3 linked regions of the Macaca mulatta genome follow. The protein of the gene in region 2 interacts with the protein of the main gene of each other region in a pairwise test. Links are inferred from orthologs where the notes say so. Each region holds a gene or a part of one and is shown on either strand. Other genes may lie near its edges.

Region 1 (3,651 bases), on a different chromosome or scaffold from region 2:
GAATCAGTCAATTTTATTCCAATTCTTCAAAATGTATACTCAATATGTTGTTTCCAAAATGTAAGTCACCCTTTATATAATAGTTTTATTATTTCATCTTTCTTTTCTTTTCTTTTCTTTTTTCATCTTTTCTTTATGGTTCTTCAGTAGAAGCCAGAATCTTGAGTTGCCCAATTAGGAGCCTAAAATATGCAAAAAGAAATGAACAGAGTGAAAAGAAAATACTTTCGGAAAAAAACTAACATACAAGAAAGTGACACAGCATTTACTTTAGCACTACTCTTGCCAAACCATTCTAAGATCTTAACTCCTGCAATTACTAGATGTCAGATGTCCCACTTAGGACAAAACAAACATCAAAATTATTATCTGGTATAGTATATGGTCAATTAAAATGTATAGCAATAACGGTATCATTAATACTGGAACAATAAACAACACAAATTAATCCTGAAGCATACAGAAAAAAACATCATATGAAAGTTATTTTCTAGGCTCAGTTATTCTAAACTTGGTTAAAATATGCAATTCAAATTCTAATGCATCCTTCCCTTTTGAACTAAAGGACTATTCCACGGACACAAATTTGTTCCTAAAACTTCAATCAAATAGGGTTTCTGCATATCCCACAACTGTTTCCTAATGACTTCCTACCCTCCAGTTACACATAATCATAATGTGTAAACAACATAGTTTAGGATTCCAAAATTATAAGGCCATTCAAGTTTCTTCAATTGCTAACATGCAGAATTAATCTCCCAAAATGGGAGATTAATTTTTGATGTGAATATCAGATGAAAGATAATGACATTTGTATAAGATCAGCACTAATACATATAATAAGATCAACATTTTTACAGAACTATTTCTTTAGATTTAGAAAGAATACACATTTCGAACACTTGAAAGAGGGCTACACATGTAAGTTATCATCTGCCAGTATCAAAATGATGTGTTGAAAACCCTGAGGAAATGAGTTAATGAAGTCACACAGGAAGAGTCAAAGCAAAAGAAAATAGTTATAATAAACTAGGAACACAATTTCTTTTTGAAGAGTCAAAGCAAAAGAAAAATACTTATAATAAACTAGGAACATAATAATGCATCTAAGAAAAAATTCATTTGTTTAGTAATTTCTTAAAATGTTCATATCTTTAAAGAGAAAAACAAAATCAGCTACAACTCATATCAATACACTTCCAAACTTCATGTAACAATTACACGGTTGCTAAATCCCAGACAGAATAGAAAATGTGTGGTTCTTACCTCTGACCTGCTATTCTGATTAAGTTTCTTCTCAATATTCATGGCCAACATCTGGCTTCTAAAAGAAAGGCTTTTGGTCTTTTCAATCACTTGCTGATAGGGTGAGACTGCATTGTTACCCATAACCACATGACCCTAAAAGGAAACACAGGGAAATTGATCCTATAATGGATGACAGAGTTTCTCAGGTGAGTAATAAGCATGACATAACCTTTGCACATATTTTAATGCACTATATAGAGATGACAATATTTACCAAGTAAGAAAAAAAATAGGAGGCTTTTGTTGCCTTCAAAGAAATGTTTTACATTAAAACAAAATAAATTATTAAAGGAGGTAATAAAATGTCCTAGTTAAGAATTCCCAAAAGTATAATCAAGAACTGATAGTATGTAGCATAGCTAACATAATACTCACTAATTTAGAATCAATCTTGGCATCCAGTCTTGCATTTCTAATCAAATTTACAATCCACCTTTCAGCTTCTTCTGGAGTCATGTTCAATTTATCTGCCAACATGCTAATGAAAAAGTAAAAACAGCAATGTTAATTAACTGGGCCTAAAAACTTAGTTTTATGTACACAGTGTTGACTCATACTCTGCACAGAGACTTTTTGGTATTTCTGGATCACCTTTCTCTTATATACTATGACCCCTACTGTCTGATTTGTTCATGTGTTTGTGCCTATTGACTTGTACTACGCACGACCTATTCCATTCACCGACTGGACTGTAAAATCCTTGAGGGTAGGGTAACATTCTGCATTTATGGAAATCCTTCAGCTTCTAGAACAGTACTTTATATTTACCAGCTGCTCAACAAGTAACGATCTAAGCGAGAAAAAGGTTTTATGATGTTCCCTCTATATCAGGGTATATTAAAAGTCAGCCCTCCATATCCACAGGTCCCACATCCTCAGATTCAGCAAACCATGGATAGAAAATATTTGGGAAAAAACAAACAATAAAAAAGAATACAAAAATAATACAAATGAAAAAACCAACACAGTATAACACCTATTTACATAGCATTTACATTTTTAACAGTAACCCAGAGATGACTGAAAGTATATGGGATAATAAGCGTAGGTTATATGAAAATATCACCCCATTTCATTTAAGACACTTGAGAATCTGAATTTTGGCAGCCAGGAGGGTCCTAAAACCAGTCTCCCAAGGATACCAAGGGACAACTATATAATGGTTATACAAAGGAAACCTTTGTATAAAGCTTTCTTTGTATAAAGAAGACATATGAAAAAGACACTTGCACAGATATATTTATAGCAGCACAATTCACAGTTCACTTAGGAACCAACCTAAGTGCCCGTCAACTAATGAGTGGATAAAGTAAATCTGGTATATATAAACCATGGAATACTACTCAGCCACTAAAAGGAAGAAAATAATGTCTTTTGCAGCAACTTGGATGAAACTGGAGGCCATTATTCTAAGTGAAATAATGCAGGAGTGGAAAACCAAAAATCTTATGTTCTCATTTATAAGTGGGAGCTAAGCTATGAGCTAAAATCTCAGAATTCACCACTATATTATTCATCCATGCAACAAAAAAAACCCCACATGTACCCCAAAAGCTATTGAAATAAAATTTTTAAAAAAGTAAACCTACTATAAGGAGCATCAGTAATAAGTATAATCTCAGGAAAAACATAAATAAAACTGAGGGGCATTGTGTATGTTTGTGCTATAAACTGTGGGGGCACTCTCTGGAGCTATATACTATATATAGTGTGTGTGTGTATATGTCTATATATATAGACACTGAATTTCAGATAAAAGAGATGGAGGGAGTGCACCAGAACATGAAGATCTTGATCTAAAATACTATTTGATATCAATCTGCATTTTGTATTTTTCCAATTTTATGATCAGGTTGAAGAGGGCCATTGCAGTGCTTAATTTATCAGAATTAAAAACACACCAGTCTTAGTAAGTAGGTTAAGTCAGTTCAGCTGATGGAAGAGTACCTACATATGCATGTAAAATACTTAAGAGTATGTAGTATACATGCATGTATATATGTGTGTTTATACACTGTCTTTTATCCTCATGGAAGCCATCAGGTCTCAGCTAAAATAAGACCCTCATAAGCCTTCTAAGACACCTCTCCCAACTGTGATACATCAGTTGGGTGCTTTCATAGCACCTATTTTTGCTATAGTTGTTTTACCGAATATCTGTCTCCAAGGTAGACTGTATACATGTAACCAAAGTGCAAGCACCGTATCCTCCTCATTCCTTGCCGTTATGTCTACCAATTAGCAGCACAATGCCTCGTACACAGGACACAATAAATATCTACTGTCTGATTGATTCCCATTCTAGTCTCTACCCTAGTTCAGGCTCCATTACTATTTCTTAGT
Region 2 (4,260 bases):
TGCAAAAAATAATTGAAAAAAAAAAGTAAAAAAGGTAGAGGTCCCAGAAGCCAAGAATTGAGGCTGAGGCTGCATAAACGTGAGATCTCATGCTAGGAATCAGGAGCTAGGAGTCAGTCTCCAGGTGTCAAAACCAGGCTCTTTCGTCTCCTCCTCCTCCGCTTGTGGTGACAGAGGGTCCCTTCCTGCTGATTATTTTCAGATGTGGGTGCAAATCTGAATCAATGTAGAGACATCAGCAATCCACTGGCAGAGCATCAGGTGAATTGAGCAGGTAGGCAGAGTTGGAGAATAGGTACGAGTGAGTCCTGGGAGGAATGTTCCTAGGGGCAGATGGAGAAATTGGGTAGAGGCCCTTTAATAAACACAGAAAGGCTTTATGTGGGAGTTGAGGATTCCAGCAGGTGAAGGGGAACCCCCCCGCTGAAAATCCTGGAACAGGTTGAATAGAGGAACAGGGCAGGTGGGAGCAGGGATGTGAGAGAGGAATAGGAGGCCAAGGGCGGGGGGTAGGGGGGGAAACCAGACTATGCCTGCATTTTCCCCCACCCCCAGGGAGAAACTGCAACCAGTTTTACAGGACACTCCTGGCCTTGCCCGAGATCAATGACCCCATTCAGAGAGGGTTGATGGCACTATGCAGCAATGCCGGCAGCCAAGGGGTTAACCTTAGGCCAGATGGCTCTGGGGTGGTGCGAGGGGGTGGGCCACCACCCCCTCCGGTTGCCTTGGCACCACTGTAGGCGCCTGCTCTGCCGCTGGGAACTTCCGCAGAGCCCAGGGCCCTTCGCTGCCAGTCTGCTCCCCACTCTCTGTCCCAAGTGGTTCCAGGCGCTGGACCCTTAGGCTTCGTCTGGAGTCCCATCCTCCACCCCAGGAGAGGTTGGCTCGGCCTGGCTGGTGCAGGCGGGTCCAGCCCAGGCACAGACACGCAGATGCAGTCTCTAGGGCTGCTCCTTAGCCTCCTGGGTTAGCAGCCCGGAGCCACCTGCGCTCCCTGCACGCAGCCCCCACCTCGCCGAGAAAGCCGGGGCTGAACGGGTAGGGGGCGGGGAGGGGACGAGGGTCACGGAGGTGAGGACCTCCTTTCCCCCAGCGGCAGGGGGAGATCAGAGACACCACGGAGCACAGGTCAGAAACAAGGGAGTAGAGAGGTCGGAGCCAGAGACTCGAGGCAGGGAGGAGCGAGGAGTCTCGGGCCCAGAGTGTGGGGGTGGAGGGCAGGCCCCCTGCTTCTCCTTCCAATCTCTGCTTCTCCCGGGAACCCCCTCCGCCCTCCCTGGGGCCCCGGCTCTTCCCCTCCCCCCAGACCCTGCACCCTCTGCGGATTGGTCCTCGGCCTGCTGGGGGGCGGGGCCCGAGGGCCCTGACGTCACTGGCCGAGGGGGGCGGGCGGCTGGAGGAGGGGCTGACGGGGCCCGGCTCAGCACCTCGGAGAGCTCCCTCCCCGGCCTTGTTTTGCTCTGGCATCGCTGCCGGGGGAGGGAGCGAGGGGGCCGGGCACCAGGCGCAGAGGCAGGGGAATGGCCATGGAAGGGTTGAGGGGCCGCGGCGGACAGAGGGCCCAGCCGTGATCCAGCGACGGGTTTGGGGCTCCGGGTGGGGTGGGGGGCAGCGGGCGGCGGCAGCAGTGGCCGCACATCTGGATGGAAGCGAGCTTTGTCCAGACCACCATGGCTCTGGGGCTGTCCTCCAAGAAAGCATCCTCTCGCAATGTGGCTGTGGAGCGTAAGAACCTGATCACCGTATGCAGGTGGGCACCGCTGGCGGGCGGGGGCTGGGGTGATCAGAGAGAGGGGTTGGGGTGGACTGCGGAAACCCGGACGGAGCGCTGCCGCGGAGAAAAGGGAGGGGAGCAAAGAGTCGAGAATAATGCGTCCACTGTCCCTCCCAGGCCCAGAACCCAGAGAGGGAGCTGCAGTCTGGTCCCTACCCTTCTAGGCCAAGTGGCCTATGCCGGGGCCTGGGCCTGAGGGGTGAGGGGTGTTTAATTGGTACTGCAGCTTCCTGTGAGAACCAGGAAGTGACATTGTGTGAGGGGGAAGGAGGTGGGGATGGCTGGCTCCCTTGCTGGGAGTGGGGCGGGATGGGCAGAGGGGACCCCATGGGGGGATGAATGCCCTCCAAGCATACCCTCATTGGCACCCATGTCAAACTGACCCTCTGGGGTGGGGTTCTCCAATGCTCAGATTCTGGAGCAGGGATGGGCAGGGTCAACTGGGCATGGGGGCAGAGCCCATGAATCCCTCCAGGGAAGGGAGAGGGGCACCGCCCAAGACGTGGGAAGGACCAAGAGCCTGGGTTCCAGGTTATAGGGGAGAAGACCGGGAGGGCACGGCCACTGGTCTCTGAGGGTGAACGGTTCCTGGGTTGGGAAGATTCTCCGCTATTGTGGGGCCCAGGAAGTGATCCTGTCCACTTCAAACCTGCAGTGACTCACCCTCCCTGCCCTGTCCCAAAACCAGGGCATGGCCAGCTGCTCAGCCACTCCCCCTGCAGCCCACACCTGCACTCTCCTCTGGTGCTGGGATCCCCTGTCAGCTGCAACCTCCTCTGGCCTCCATGCCTATCAGGTGTTGCTCCCTCAGGGCAGGGTGCTCCTGGGGACAGGGCTCACTCTTCCCTTGCCAGCCCCACCTGCCTGCCACGTAGGCCTCAGCTCTGCTGAAGCCCACCTGATACCCTGAGGCCCACTAGTGCCCACCTGATGCCCTGGCTCCTGGCTCCCATAGCTCCTTCCAGGTTCCTGGGCACACACCCAACCACACTGCATCTGTCTCCCAGCATCATATCCCTAGTGCCCAGCACAGTGCTGTGCACATCAGACCTCTGCAGAAATGCCTGGAACGTTAAGGAAGAAGAGAGTGTAGCAATGGCCCAGCCCACAGTGCAGGGCACTGCCTCTACCCTCATTCCCCCCAACCCCTACCAGTGTGTTGTAAAACAAAGATTTCTGTCTTTGGGGCCAGATGGTCCGAGGTTCAAGCTCTTACTCCATCAGCTTTAGCTGCGCAACCTTGAGGAGGTCTCTTAACCACTCTGGGCCTTGGGTGCCCCATCATCCTCATTTTAGATGTCACAGTCATACCAAAGAATGATAATGGCATCATCCATGTAGGAGCCTAGCTCAGTGTCTGGCACACAGAAAGAACCCTTTCCTAATGACGTTCTTCCTGGCCCTCTCTGCTCTCTACCTGCTAGGTTCCTCTTTTTTCTCTTGCCTGCCAAGTTAGCTGAGCCTCTTGAGTACGTGAGGGGAATGAGGGAACTCTCCTTGACATAGGCCAGAGAAGAAGAAGTTGAAGGGCTGAAGGTGGCTTAGAACTGGGAGGGAAGGATAGAGTTTTGGGGGGTCAGTGATGTGACAAAGGCTTAGTAACCCCTAGGCCCCTGCTGCCTCATCACTGTCACATGGTTTGCCTCCAGCTCCCAGAACAGCTCCCTTTAGCAGGCCGTGGGCTCCCCTGGGCCCTGGCCTCGCTGTCTCCATGGTAACCTGCAGCAGCCACTGCATCTCCTATCAGAGAGCACACCACGGGGCTCCCGGGGGCAATGACCACCTCTGTGGCACCCCTGAGGACAGATACCAGATGGTTGCCATGCTGAACCCAGTCCAGGCCCCATCATTGTCTGACCCAGATGACCAGGAGAAATCAAGCTGGCAGGAGGGTGGGCATAGTGAAGCTGGGATAATGCCCCAACCACAGGCTTGCTTTCAGCAGGGCCAGCCTTCCCAGCCACAGCCCCGCTCCTTACCATCCCTGCCCAGCAGCCCTAGGCACCTACCATCTCCCAACCCTTCCTGGGCTCTCAACCAAAATGTAATGAGGCAGGTACGATTGTTCCCATTTGCATTTGGCAAGAGGGGACTCAGAGAGGGGCCCAAGGCCACATGAGTGTCACAGGGAAACAGGATTTGAATCCAGCAGGCTGCCTCCCTCTAGTGCAACCCCAAGACTGACCTGGCTCTGATCTCAGGCCAGATCAACTCTAAGTTCAAAAGGAAGGGGGACAACGGCTCAGCTGTGCAATTGGCCTGAGAGCCGCAGAGGTCAGTGCTCCAGGGCTGGAGACTTGTGGTGCAGAGGACAAAGGGCGGTGGAGCAGGGGCTGCTCCAGGCCTAGGTCTTCACGATAGCTGCCAGGAGGCCACAGATGTAGCAGAAAGAGCAGAGTCTTCAGAATCAGAATCAGACATACCTGCTTGACTCCTCATAAGCCATGTAGCTCTGAACAGATCAGTCAACCTCTTGGACCATC
Region 3 (3,651 bases), on a different chromosome or scaffold from region 2:
AATCCATAAAAGTTTTCTGAAGGGATGGGGTGTGGTTGTATTTGATGGCTTCCATTTGGATGATTTCTACTAGCTTTTTTCTTATCTGAGAACTATTAGAACGAACATGATCATTTTTTCAGGCTGGAGTGCAGTGGCATGATACCAGCTCACTGCAACCTCTGCCTCCCTGGTTCAAGCGATTCTCCTGTCTCAGCCTCCTGAGTAGCTGGAACTACAGGCACCTGCTACCATACTCGGCTAATTTTTATATGAACATGATCAATTTTATACACATAGAACATAGTGAAATGCTGATAATTATAAGTTGTTTGCTCATTGGAGTTATTTATTATGTGATCAACTGTGAAATTTTGTGCAACCCTCCCTCAGAATAGAAAAAAAATTAAGAGGATTTAGTCTGAGTTTCTGAGAATAATTTTCCAAGTATATCTGGAAAGATAAATTGATTTTAAAGGATGTATAATTGATTAATTAAAACATCATTTCATAAAACTCATTTTATGATCCACTGTGAGAGCAGCTTCAAATGCCCTCAGATAAGTATCAAGCCAAGTGGTACAAATCATTTTCATGCAACTGAAGATATCATTTATGCTGGAATAGCCGCCCAAAACAAAAATCCACGTGACCTGTTTAACTTTGTGCTATTACAATGTCTGTGTTTTGTGTATTCTCTCATAGGTATGAGAAAGTGCCAGTCATCTTGGTCGGGAACAAAGTGGACCTGGAAAGTGAGAGAGAAGTATCGTCCAATGAAGGCAGAGCACTTGCTGAAGAGTGGGGCTGCCCCTTTATGGAAACTTCCGCTAAGAGTAAAACAATGGTGGACGAACTCTTTGCAGAAATTGTGAGGCAGATGAACTATGCTGCTCAGCCTGACAAAGATGACCCATGCTGTTCTGCATGTAACATACAATAGCATCCAAATATGGCTGTCCTGGATGGGATTTGCCCAATGTCGTAGGTGATAGAAAACTCGCCTACTCCACTGCAGAACTTGCAGGATGCGTGGTGTTAATCTACAGAGAACTGCAGCCCTTATTCAGAATTGAGCAGTGGTTGTCAGTTGATATCTCTGAGTAACATTTGGGTTCAGTAACTACAGTTTTCACCATTTGTCCTCAGTCTCCTTTATGCATCTGCAACTTTAAGGCATAGTCCATCGATCTACAGGGTGATCTCATTTGAAAGCTATGATGGCATTGTCGCTGAGTTGACAGAAGCAACTATTGTATAAATTAAAAATAACCATAAGGGAGAAACCAGAAGAATTCCTATGACCACTTACAATTAAAATATTTTGTCTTCTTTAAAAAAATAAGTAAAGGAGAAATATTTTCCTACAAGAGTACTGAATTTCAGGAATTGGGATAGAGCTTCTAACCAATGTATTTCGTCAAGTAAGATAATAACAGCTGACCTGCCAACAGCATTACAGGGAGAGATTCTTTGCTCAGCTAACACATTTCTGTTTTTCAAAATTGATGCTTAATTGTAGCTGTTACTCTAATTTGTGACATGGAACTAACTCATGCTTCAATCCTTGATAGAGCAAAAGTCAGAACAGGTTATATAAAAATAGTCTGGCTTTAGAATTTGTTAAATCACCTGCTTTGCCACAGAAAATGGAGGCTTTCACAAGGGTTTGATCAGAATTAAAACCCCGACCCCGCCCTCTGTTAACTGAGCAGGGGTGGTCTTTGTAACTTTACTGAACAAGAGGGAAGCAACTGTGATGGGAAGAGATTACCTAGCCTTACTAACAAGAAGCATTCTAATAGATAAACTAGTACCATCATGTAAGGAAAATGAAGCCATGTTGCATCCACATGTTCCTGTTTGCAGAAACCTCACAGGACAGTACGAATATCTGGCATTTTTAAGTTCATTAAAGCAGCAAATTCCTTCTCGCCTTTAAGGGCTATGGTTGTAGTGTAACCTGTGGCTAACCTGCTTTCAAAATCAAGTTTGCTGTAGCAGAGCTTTATTGCAGGCATTTTAAAAATTGAATAACCATGTGAAATAATTTGGGCTTAAAAGTGAACATAAATTATAGAGTGGAAGGTAAGGGACAAAAGCCTTTTATCTTTAATTTTCCTGGAGAATTATATAAAGGTTTTCTTAGAACAATTTTGCCCTGATTACTGAAGTGTCAAATAAAGCTGGAGTGAATATTTTGTTTTGAAAAGGTGCTCAAGCTCTGACATTTTTGGTTTTCATAGCCGTGAAGTATTTATCATTTGCATGACTAATGGCACAGGAAAAACCTATTCATAAGTTTTACAATCAAGTATACAGGGATCTTCAGCTAACTTCAGTTACAAATGCTGAAAAGATTATCTTGAGCTGGGCCTTGGGAGAAGAATTTGGCCTTCAGAACTGCAATATCACTGAGCCTGCGATCTATACACCACCCCACATTTTGTTGGTTTCACAGTGTTGTGCAAGTAACCTCTGGTCTTACGTGTGTCACTGAGAGAAGAGTGTGTGTTTGTGTGTGCATGTGTGTTTATTGTTCTGAAGAATTTGGCACAAGTCAGAGATAATTTGCCTATACTAAGAATCTATACTGCAGAATATAGTGTATCAAAAACTTTTTTCTTTTAAATTATTAAAGTGTCTTTTATACTTTTATGAAATCATTGGTAGCCCCCCAAATGTTTAATAACTGGCATTAAACTTAGAGGATGAAAAAAAAAAAAAGGTTGATAGTATTTTTCATAATGAAAAAGCTGAAGAGATAGGTGAATGAAACCAGGCCATAGTTGTCAAAAATCTTTGAATTTTGAATATTTACATTCTTCAGTATAATTTTTTATAATCCTCAGTTATGAAGCACCTTGTTTATAGGAAAAAATTTTTAACCAATTTTATTGAAACGCATTTCACTGCATAAAAGTTGGTTTGATTCAAACATGTAGAGAAATTGGAGATTCAAGATATATGATTTCTCTACTGAAATAAAAATACTTGTTAGTGAATTGGTTGAGTTTTGATTCCTCTAACTTCTCAGAATGATTCTTTTGAATTCTATAACTAATAGCAATGTTTGACAAATAAAATTGCAAAATAGAAATATCTATAAAGATCCCACAGTTTGACATTATGACTTGCTATGCAGATGTGAAAATAGGTTAAATAATATGAAAGATATGGCAGAATGTAAAGTGGAAAAAATGATCTAAAATTTTGAATTGTATTAATAGTTAAAAACATTTGTGTCAGATGACAAGGTGGGCTTTTACTGTCAAGACATGAATAATAACTGATCTGGCTGCCTGATCAGTGTTTCCACGCAAACCTGCATATTTGGTGACCAAGGCATCAAGGACATCCCGAAACTGGAAATTCCTATCCATCTGGTGTGAATATAACTCAGTTGGCAAATGAATGTGTTTGTTGAGATATTACAGTAATAAAATGCTTAAGAACAGGAAGATTACATTTGTTGGCATATGAAACCTTAGTGGCTACAGAAGAAAGTTGACCTTGTGTCACGATTTATTTTATGCCCTGATCAGACTAGCAACTTAGATAAGTGAAAGTTTTTCTCACATGCCTTAAAAATATTATGGTTTGATCCAAAGACCCACTTTTTCTTTAGCTCTTGTGATAAGATTTTCTTTTTTTTACTTTTATACAAAGGCA

The links.
Region 1: the proteins of RUNDC3A (region 2) and EIF3E interact in binary tests that used the Homo sapiens proteins (3 or more experiments, as listed by UniProt). The two-hybrid records come from large-scale screens. The link is inferred for Macaca mulatta from reciprocal best matches to the Homo sapiens genes RUNDC3A and EIF3E.
Region 3: the proteins of RUNDC3A (region 2) and RAP2A interact in binary tests that used the Homo sapiens proteins (3 or more experiments, as listed by UniProt). The link is inferred for Macaca mulatta from reciprocal best matches to the Homo sapiens genes RUNDC3A and RAP2A.

The regions. Positions count from the first base shown.
Region 1 is NC_133413.1:118,454,678-118,458,328, forward strand, and holds part of EIF3E (eukaryotic translation initiation factor 3 subunit E), read right to left. Parts: intron 1,787-3,651; coding exon 1,684-1,786; intron 1,402-1,683; coding exon 1,267-1,401; intron 183-1,266; coding exon 144-182; 3' UTR 1-143. UniProt on the Homo sapiens protein: Component of the eukaryotic translation initiation factor 3 (eIF-3) complex, which is required for several steps in the initiation of protein synthesis.
Region 2 is NC_133421.1:68,680,652-68,684,911, forward strand, and holds the start of RUNDC3A (RUN domain-containing protein 3A), read left to right. Parts: upstream 1-1,429; 5' UTR 1,430-1,646; coding exon 1,647-1,753; intron 1,754-4,260. UniProt on the Homo sapiens protein: May act as an effector of RAP2A in neuronal cells.
Region 3 is NC_133422.1:92,209,068-92,212,718, forward strand, and holds part of RAP2A (ras-related protein Rap-2a), read left to right. Parts: intron 1-684; coding exon 685-922; 3' UTR 923-3,651. UniProt on the Homo sapiens protein: Small GTP-binding protein which cycles between a GDP-bound inactive and a GTP-bound active form. In its active form interacts with and regulates several effectors including MAP4K4, MINK1 and TNIK.